2 linked regions of the Arabidopsis thaliana genome follow. The protein of the gene in region 2 interacts with the protein of the main gene of each other region in a pairwise test. Each region holds a gene or a part of one and is shown on either strand. Other genes may lie near its edges. The genes, in order: AGT and GOX2.

Region 1 (5,229 bases), on a different chromosome or scaffold from region 2:
TTAGAATTCTTTACGTCCACTAAAACCTTTGCTCCAACTTCTTAACCCATCCCTTTCCATTTTGCTAGGAATATCGGTGAACTGTCTATGGTAGAATCTTTTAGGCATGGTCAAATCATACTTATGATCATATGATATGGCTACAAATTTTTTGTCAATGTCCATATATAGCCATATTAGTTGATTGAATAAGAATAAGTGCTATTATGTCTAAATATTTACCGTTGGTTTGCTATGGGTTTACTCTAGCTATCCGTACGTACGTAGCCATGGTTCATAAATAACGACGTCCAATTAGTTAAAATCAATATACTTAACCCAATCTTTTTTAAAAGAAAATGCTATGCAGTGAAAGTATTCATCATGATGTATAAAGATTAAATCTGTTGAGTAATAGCGTATCGAAACTCATTGATAATTTAACTCAATTTTTTTAGGTTTGGCCAAAAGTTGGGTGTTACATAACGTTCATACAAAAGAAGAGATAAATCTATTTTGTCAATGGTCAAAGTGTTTAAACTAAAAGCGTTAAGACGCAAATACATTTTAAAGAATTTCAATATTTCTTATTAATATGGAGGTTGTATATGCAGAACATTGTGATTACTGACTAGGCATAAGAAAGCATCAACAAGAGTTTCCTTTTGTTGTCACAGATAAGACCCCTCTTGAAATAAGTCTTCTTGATTCATACCGCCAAATGTAGACCTTATATCTCAGTCGTCTTCGACTTCATACCGCGAAATGTAGACCTTATATCTCAGTCGTCTTCGACTTCATACCGCCAAATGTAGACCTTATATCTCAGTCGTCTTCGACTTCATACCGCGAAATGGGACACCTTCTCCCGACTATAGTGTCTTTAAACCAACCTCCATATAAATGGATGAGAGATCAAAATTATCTTTTTTCACTTGACGATCGAGTATCCTCATCCCAAACATAGTTTTAGACTCGAGTTATGTTCCACTAACATTGTAAGAGCATCCCTCATACCCATATAAGTTGAAGTTGTTGAGACAAAGTTTATAGTGAGTAATAAACATATTTGATCTTTTGTTCAATAAGTTTGTTGGAGATAGCAAATAAAAACATAGATAATGTAGTAAAAATATAGATGAAGAAAAGAGAAAACATGAGAGTTTGTTTACATTGAGAGGAAGAGAAAGAAAGAGAAGGACCACATGGATTAGATTCTAGAGGGAATGAGAGGAATGTGGTGCTGAAGATAAGTAGAGGCAGCTGCAACTCCACTTCCCATTACAACTGGGTATCCAACATCCTTCAGTATCATCTCCACTCCCGCAAGACACCCGAGAAGTTGCAACTGCGTTCGATTTGTATTGTTTGATAAGAGTTTGGTCAATGAAAATTGGATTACACTAAGATAAATCTCGATATGTACCTCATTCACATTTCCTAGGTGTCCAATTCTGAAAACCTTTCCAGCCACTTTGTTGAGACCAAGACCAAGACTTAAGTTGTACCTCTGCCATGCCCTTCTCACAATCTCCGAACCGTCTATATGCGGAGGCACCATAACTGCTGTCACTGTGTTACTTATCCATTCCTCCTTCTGTGTGCAGTTTTTCAGCCCCCATGCTTCCACCGCAAGCCTATGTACATGATCATTAACAATCAAACTCTAGCTATAATGTTTTCCAAAGTCAATGTACTAGTAAGAATCAAGATTACGAAGAGGACTAAGTGTATTCATTTTATATGATTCATTTACCTGGTGGCCTTTCCCAAACGAGCATGGCGGGCGATGATGTTCTCAAGTCCTTCCTCAAAGATAAGATCAAGAGCAGCTCTAAGACCGTAGAGAAGTTGAATGGAAGGTGTGTATGGCCAATAGGTTCCTAGCTTGTAAAACTTAAGGTAGTCATTCCAGTCAAAGAATACTTTGAGAGATTTAGAAGTTTTGGTAGCTTCCAAAGCTTTAGGACTGGCGCAGACAATACCAAGTCCTGTTGGAAGAGATAAGGCTTTCTGAGACCCAGTCAAGGCCACGTCCACTCCCCACTCATCCATTCGGAAATCAAGCGCGCAGATGGACGAAACACCGTCCACTAGCAGCAAAGCCGGATGCTTGTAGTGATCTGTATGTAAACCCTAATGTAAGTGAGATTTAAAACAGAGAAAACACAAAAGAAAAACAGATTATTTGTGAGGAATTAATGACCGAGGAGTGTGCGGACAGCAGAGATGTCATTGGTAACTCCGGTCGCGGTCTCGTTGTGGACAATGCAAATGGCTTTGATGGTATGATTCTCGTCTTGTGAGAGCTTTGAGGCCAAGACTTGGAGATTAGCACCTTGTCCCCAATCACTCTCAACCACATCAACATTGAAATTAAGCCTCTTCTGCTGGTCAATCCAGAGCAAGCTAAATTGTCCAATCAGAAACGAAACAATCCTGTCTCCAGGAGATAACGTGTTGGTCAAGGCACTCTCCCAAGCACCAGTCCCGGTCGTGGGAAACAGAAAAGGTGTCCCTGATGTGGTCTTGAATATCTTCTTAACATCCTCCAACAATGTTTTCGTAAGCGCCGGAATGGCTGGTGACCGGTAATCCTCGTTGTTCCGGTTCATCGCCCGGATTACCGGTTCCGGTATGTTCACTGGTCCTGGTACAAACAGATGGTGTCTCCCTGGTCCATACATATAGTCCATTTTTTCCTCTTTTCTTTTGGATCCTCCTCTACACTGTCAAAAACTTACAAACTCACAATCTCATCTTTCACCAGATAATCGAATATAACTCAAACATGTAGCCATATGCATATATGACCATGTAATATGTACTATTGCTACTATCAACTCCGGTGAACAATAACAAATGTTATTTTTTTTGTTAATAACAATAACAAATATGTTAGCCGATCATATTTCCAATAAGACAACATATATGTGTACTATAAAAAGATGTTTCATAGGCAAGATCATAGACACAAACAAGCGGAGAAAACGAAGAAGTAAATTTGCAAGGAAGAGAGAAGTTTAACCTCTGAATAAGGCGGAAGCTCCTGAGGGAGGTTTTGGACTCCTTCGTCTTCACAAACCTCTTTAATATATCTTCTTCTTTTTCTTTTTTTTATTTTATTTATTTATTTTAAATTACATGATGTTTTTGTAAGTAGTTTATTTTGTTATTTAGTTTATCCCAATCAAGTAGCTTGCCTTATTGGAATCTTGGCCGCGTGGCAGATAAGAGCAACGTGAAAAATCTTTGAGCTTACGTATGGCTCACAATGCATTTGTGTTACCTTTGCATATTTGCCCTTCTTCTCTCTTATATTTTTCAGTTTTTCCACATTAGTTTGTTTTGTCGTGTTCAAAATAATAATAATCAAATCACTCTTTTTTTTTAATCAGAGATCAAGACTCTCTTACCACTGACTAATCTTCTTAAAAACTCTTGGTGAGTGTACCCGCCGTATAACCCGCTTACTAAATTTGTTTATTGACGAAGAGTGTATTTAATCTAGTATTTTAAGTGATTTGTGTAAAATTTACAAATTTTATGTTATCTAATTATGGATTTTAATAATTTTAATAATAAAATTTAGTGTTATTAAACTAATAATTTAAAAATTTATTGTTATTGAAAACGGTTTGTCAATTTGATTCTTATTAATTTTGAAAGATTGGAGAAGATTTGAGAAAAACATTTTAGTTAAAAATATAGAAATCCAAATTATACGGTTTTAGATGAAATTTGAAAAGATTTTATAAAAATTCGTATCAACTTTCCTAAAATCATCAAAATCATATAAAAACTCAACTAAAACTCAGATCATTTTCCAATACATCTCCTAAAAGCTTGGTATCCTTTGACTAGACATCATCTTTCATAGTTAATTTCTTACCAAAACTATATAATTGAGTTCAATTACAAGGCTCAGATTTTGTTTAAAGATGAAAGCACTTAAAAACATTAGTCGAAATAAAATAAAAAAATTGGAACCATGATAATAGTATTAGTAAGTCATGCATACATGCAACCTATGTTTACTTAGCCACCACATTTTTTTCTGTAAAATTCAGAATGAAAAAAGGATGATAGTTGGATAAACCAAGAGGTTCTTGGTCTAATAGTTAATTTGAAAGATGAGAATTTTGATTCGAATCCACTTAGTAGGAAAGTTGTTTCCAAAAAAGGTTCCGAACGGTGATCGAACCGCATTGTGCGGTGCAGTGTATGTAGATATTTTCGTTACTATTAGAACTGCATTGTACTTTATCCGCAGTTGAACTGCACGTTACTATTCTGATCCACGAAGATTAGGATCCATCACGAATTTTTTGGCAAAATATATATTTATATAATGAGAGAGTGGGGTGGGAGACGGAGTTGACTTTGAAAAGGTTTGGGGATAAAACAAAATATATAATGGAATTAGGGAGGGATATTGTAATATAAGAAAGTAAGAAAGATAAGAGGTGGAAAAGGGAAGAGGAGAGATAAGGAGATAAAAGGGAGAGAGCCACACAACCTGTTTTTGCAACAAAGACCACACGACCAAACGCCGAATCCTCGGGGCACTTCTTCACTATCTCTCGCTCTCTTGTTTTATGTTTAGGATTATTATTGCACTAGACGACACATAATTCAAACTATATTTAGGTGAATATCTATTGAATGTATAGAATATGGAGACTTTGTAAAATACAAACTATATTTGGCCATACGATTAGGATGTTTGAATTTCTTTTGCATAAAAAAATTGGTTAGAAAAACAAGTTAGAATACAACTCTTTATTACTCAACATTGGAGATATTTAAATGCAAATAAAAGTATATGGAATCATTTTGTTTTAGTGTTTCCACACTGAGATAAAATCAACCTAGCAAAGTAGCAATAAGGTGTCTAAAACAAACATGATCAATGAAAGTCATAACCCTCAACCTATGACCAAGAATATGCATGTTTTGTTGGATCAATGCGAATCCAGAGAACAAACTGTCGACTTGGCAGCTAGAAGGCCCTCTCGAGGGTGATGTCAAGAGCATAATATGTTAATATAGATAAATTCCTAAAGAAATTTTACCTACGTAAATGCCAAGAAAAAACTTCAAGACCCCAAAATCCTTTATGTGAAAGCAAGCCATGAATCATGATACTCCTTAATAACTAAGACCATGTAAGAGGAGATTCTTGTTTTGATGAGACCATCGACATACCCAAAAACATGAAGCGAAACTTGTCTTTAAAAATGATAAGAA
Region 2 (5,079 bases):
GACATTATCAAAAGCATCCTGCAGCTCATCATTTCAAGTCCAGCAGCTACTCCAAGAATAAACACAGCAACAGGCACTGCAAGTATGGTTGAAGAATACTGTACATTGTTAGTCAGATATAAGAAGTAAACATAAGACTTATGAGGAACCAAGAGCATGAACAGTTTCTTACTTATAGCCTTCAACATCTGCGCAAATGCAACTGATATGTAGAGGTAGGCAGTGTTTCCCAACCAGAGGGTCATTGCAAACATTGCACCTATTGGAATAACTGACGTAACATATCTGAGTACATAAAGTGAGTTAATACTGCTACATTGATAAAATTAGTAAAGATATTTATGTTATGGGTATTTTCGACTACTCCAAAATCAAATTCCTTACGAAGTCTCTTTCTTCCTTACATTTCTAGTGTCATTCCTTCCTCGACCTTCACAATCTTCATGGAGAAATAAATAGAGAACAGAGAAGGGACCAAAAGTTAGGCAGTCTTTACTTGTGAACAAAAACAGAAAGAACATTAATTGCAAGATTACCTTAAGAACTTTGGTAAGAAGAAAGCACAAGACAGAGGAAAAGATCATATGGAGTAAAGTCAATCCAAGAGGATAAGGGAAATTAATTTCCTTAGATGACAAAACCCACTGCAGCAGAGCAATTCAAAGACAAAAACGTTAGTCATGACGAAAAGAGAGAAACCACAATCTATGAATCGTTACTTGCTACAGATTGTAAAACGGTGAACTCTGATGCATAAGCAATAACAGAGAGGTCAAAAGCAAACACAACACGATCAAACAAAAGCAAACGGATGTTGAATTCTACACAACCGAGGGATTCTAAAATCTGCTAGTCAACTTCCTAGAAACTAGCACAGTACATTGCACATACCAGCTCAATTCCTTACGAAAACTAGCGATCGGTTTCTACAAATCGAAAGAGCACAAAACAATACGATGCGAGAACATAGATCCAGGGAAATATAGATTGTGAGATTTAAGGTAAACCTTATTGAAGAAGATTTGACCACTAGAAAGAGCGATATAGAGAAGAATGTAAGCATAGGTCACGAATTCAGCTCTCATAAAGCCTTTGCTCCGATCCGCCATTGAAACCGATTATTATGATCTCAGATTACGGAATAAAAGTTGTCGCTTCTGGTTTTTATGTAACACTTTTCCGAGTGCTTTTTGTTTCTTTTCCAATCGTCTTCTCCTTCACTGAGTATTTCACTTTCCCATCTTCTCAAATTTCAACAACAGCTAAATAAGAGCGACGGTGACGACTTTAAGTGGGTCCCACTTTTTATTATCCTCTCTCATTTTATGGGCTTTTCTCACATTTAAAGCCCAAATACTGTTGGGTTTATAAGCTATTGTTATGTTTCGTCAAGCCCATGAATTTGGTTCTACCTCGCACACTTTTTTTTGTTTCAGTTTCATCATCCACCCTTGGATATATGTCCAATGAAAAGAAATGAAAATTATTAAGTATTTTTTCTCGAGATTGTGAACGATAATATGAAAGAAATGTAAGGAACACACAAGTTGCTTGTGGATTAGACCACAACCCATCTGATATTTGTCCGCATCTCCACAACCATTCTTCACCTCCAACTTCTCATCCATATTATAATCCAACTTGCCAATAATTTTTTCAACTGTTACAGATTACTACATCAACGAAATATTAAACATTTAACCATATATAAAAGTTGGAGATATATGATATAAGCTTTTCTTAGCAGTCCCACCCTTCCTCTCTCGAGAGAGCTCCATTCCAATCAAAGCTGTGTAAGATTCTGTGTTCTAGACCAAACAGAGACGCGTCTGTGTTCTGGAGATTATAAACATATGTCTGATAATCACAACTGATAACTAACTCGGGGTTTTTTGCTCTTTTGACAGAAACACACTTCAGAAGATGGAGATCACTAACGTTACCGAGTATGATGCAATCGCAAAGGCGAAGTTGCCTAAGATGGTATATGACTACTATGCATCTGGTGCAGAAGATCAATGGACTCTTCAAGAGAACAGAAACGCTTTTGCAAGAATCCTGTGAGTTTTTCTTTTCTTAATAAGATAAGATACACTTTTTGTTATTGGTTTTCACAAGAGAACTGAGTTTGATGTACATAACTTGGGATGTTTTAACAGCTTCCGGCCTCGGATTTTGATTGATGTGAACAAAATTGATATGGCGACTACCGTCTTGGGGTTCAAGATCTCGATGCCGATCATGGTTGCTCCTACTGCCTTTCAAAAGATGGCTCACCCTGATGGTAAAAGACGTTTTTCTTTTTTCCTGAAACAGTCATTTCTAGAGAGTTAAAACTTGTTTTAGTATCACTAGAGACAAAGACTGAGGCTTACTCTAATGGAAACTAATGCAGGGGAATATGCTACGGCTAGAGCTGCGTCTGCTGCTGGAACCATCATGGTATGTTATTATATTCAAAAGAAGATTTTAACCGTCTTGGTGTTTATAGCTGCTTAATCCACCAATCCATGCATAACCAAGTTTCTGGTTTGAGTTATTTTCTTCCATGATGTTTCAGACACTATCTTCATGGGCTACTTCAAGTGTTGAAGAAGTTGCTTCCACAGGGCCAGGAATCCGATTCTTCCAGCTCTATGTAAGTTGCTTGATGAACAATTCTGATATACCTGTGGTCACACGTGATGGTTCACACGTTATGATTGTTCTGAGTAGGTATACAAGAACAGGAAGGTGGTTGAGCAGCTCGTGAGAAGAGCCGAGAAAGCTGGGTTCAAAGCCATTGCTCTCACTGTAGACACCCCAAGGCTAGGTCGCAGAGAGTCTGATATCAAGAACAGGTAAAGCCACATCAATTGAAATGTGATAAGAGTTGATTAGACTCGAATATGCAAACATATAGCTAAACAATTATAGAGTAACGATGTGTGTTCTTCTACTACAGATTCACTTTGCCTCCAAACCTGACATTGAAGAACTTTGAAGGTCTTGACCTTGGAAAGATGGACGAGGCAAGCATCGATCAGATAGTATCCATTACTTAAGTCTGAATAGTGTCAATGATCCACTTAAAAACTAGCTTTAAAGCATACGGTTTGTTTCCTGATTATGTTCCTAAACTTGTTATGTTTCCACCTGCAGGCCAATGACTCTGGCTTGGCTTCGTATGTTGCTGGTCAAATTGACCGTACCTTGAGCTGGAAGGTAAGAGAATACAACAAATTTTCAGATACCACAGCAAAACCAAAAACTTGATTCAGATTGCTCTAACTTTCATCTACAAAAACAGGATATCCAGTGGCTCCAAACAATCACCAACATGCCAATTCTTGTCAAGGGTGTTCTTACAGGAGAGGATGGTGAGTTTCCATTTGCCAAACAAATAATTTCAACACTCTAGTGTCATAGAAATACCTGACAAGGTCAACTATTATTGTCCCCATGCAGCAAGGATAGCGATTCAAGCTGGAGCAGCAGGGATCATTGTGTCAAATCATGGAGCTCGCCAGCTTGATTATGTCCCAGCAACAATCTCAGCCCTTGAAGAGGTAGATCATTCTCGACTACAAACATAAATCTGTGTTCTCGATAAGTATTTATGTACAAGCACATTAGCTTTGTTCTCTTGTGTTCAGGTTGTCAAAGCAACACAAGGACGAGTTCCTGTCTTCTTGGATGGTGGTGTTCGACGTGGCACTGATGTCTTCAAGGCACTTGCACTTGGAGCCTCTGGAATATTTGTAAGCATCACATCATATATCCATTCACCAGAAAGTTGCTTAAAAACAGTAAATATTTAAAATGCCTTCTCAATCTCAGATTGGAAGACCAGTGGTTTTTGCACTAGCTGCTGAAGGAGAAGCCGGAGTCAAAAAGGTGCTTCAAATGTTGCGTGATGAGTTCGAGCTAACCATGGCACTAAGTGGGTGCCGGTCACTCAGTGAAATCACCCGTAACCACATTGTCACGGAATGGGACACTCCACGCCATTTGCCCAGGTTATAGAGAAGAAAAAAAAAACAGAGAACAGAAACAACACGGCACCAAAACGTATTCATATTCTGATTGATCACTTTGCTTCTACTCTGCTATATTTATATCTCGAAAAACTTGTTTCTCCCTATATCGGATCACAAAAACGTGCGTAGAGATTCTCTGTAATGCTATTTGGCTACATTTTACCTTTCCGTTTATTCTTATTGCTTGTACAATAGATGTTGATTCCTACAATACCAATGAATACTAAAATCTGTTCCCGGAAAACTAGTATAGTCAGAAAATCTTACATTGCACCCAACTTCCACAATCCAAACACAGTTCAAATCTTATATTAACAGCAGCCAAAACCTCACAGAAACTAGCTACCAAAAGAGCACAAAAGAATACTATAGGAGAACTCAGATTAAGGAAAGACAGGTTTGTGAGATTTACAATACCTTATTGAAGAAGAATGTAAGCGAATTCATCCTTCACTTTGTGCTGGGCTAAGTATTGCATCGAAAAGCCCAAAATAATTTGGCTCACGAATTCGAAACTCTTGGATTTATGCACTTTTCTGAAAAAAAAAGAAAAACGATTGGTTTACGAATTACTACTATTTTTCTACGAGATTAAGAACGATAATATGTAAGAAAAATCTAAGACACACACCATCCATCAGATTTTTGTCCGTATCTCCTCATCAATTCTTCACCTCCAGCTTCTCATCCATATTTCTTTCTTTCCAATGCAAACAAGTTTTCAACTGTTAAAAGATAAACCAAAAACTCACAAGCCAATTAATCTATCAGAAATATTTAACTTTTAACCAAATAAAAACGTTGAGATATATATAATATAAGCGTTCCTTACCACTCACACACTTCATCTCTCCCCAGAGCTCTATTCCCATCAAGGTGTGTGAGATTCTCTGCTAAGACAAACCAAAAACCAGATTGTTTTGCGTTCATGGACATGTTCCTCTCTGGAGATTAGAATCGTAGCTATGACTATGTCTGAATTTCACAAGAGGTAGCTAACTCAGGCCTTTTTGCTCTTTTGACAGAAACACACTTCGGAAGATGGAGATCACTAACGTTA

Evidence for each region.
Region 1: the proteins of GOX2 (region 2) and AGT interact in a two-hybrid assay, tested with the Arabidopsis thaliana proteins (one large-scale study listed by BioGRID).

Annotation. Positions count from the first base shown.
Region 1 is NC_003071.7:5,538,228-5,543,456, forward strand, and holds AGT (alanine:glyoxylate aminotransferase), read right to left. Parts: upstream 3,183-5,229; 5' UTR 3,008-3,182; intron 2,709-3,007; 5' UTR 2,676-2,708; coding exon 2,186-2,675; intron 2,103-2,185; coding exon 1,736-2,102; intron 1,617-1,735; coding exon 1,406-1,616; intron 1,328-1,405; coding exon 1,190-1,327; 3' UTR 797-1,189; exon of another isoform or gene 787-796; intron 709-786; 3' UTR 513-708; downstream 1-512. UniProt on the Arabidopsis thaliana protein: Photorespiratory enzyme that catalyzes transamination reactions with multiple substrates, including asparagine. Functions exclusively as a catabolic enzyme in Asn metabolism.
Region 2 is NC_003074.8:4,816,744-4,821,822, forward strand, and holds GOX2 (Aldolase-type TIM barrel family protein), read left to right. Parts: upstream 1-1,554; 5' UTR 1,555-1,793; exon of another isoform or gene 1,794-1,833; intron 1,834-1,907; 5' UTR 1,908-1,923; coding exon 1,924-2,060; intron 2,061-2,159; coding exon 2,160-2,284; intron 2,285-2,395; coding exon 2,396-2,442; intron 2,443-2,560; coding exon 2,561-2,638; intron 2,639-2,715; coding exon 2,716-2,840; intron 2,841-2,944; coding exon 2,945-3,029; intron 3,030-3,141; coding exon 3,142-3,204; intron 3,205-3,289; coding exon 3,290-3,359; intron 3,360-3,447; coding exon 3,448-3,548; intron 3,549-3,635; coding exon 3,636-3,740; intron 3,741-3,819; coding exon 3,820-4,005; 3' UTR 4,006-4,263; downstream 4,264-5,079. Other genes in the region: AT3G14410 (Nucleotide/sugar transporter family protein), read right to left, coding at 1-76, 173-285, 405-439, 537-644, 1,008-1,109; GOX1 (Aldolase-type TIM barrel family protein), read left to right, coding at 5,061-5,079.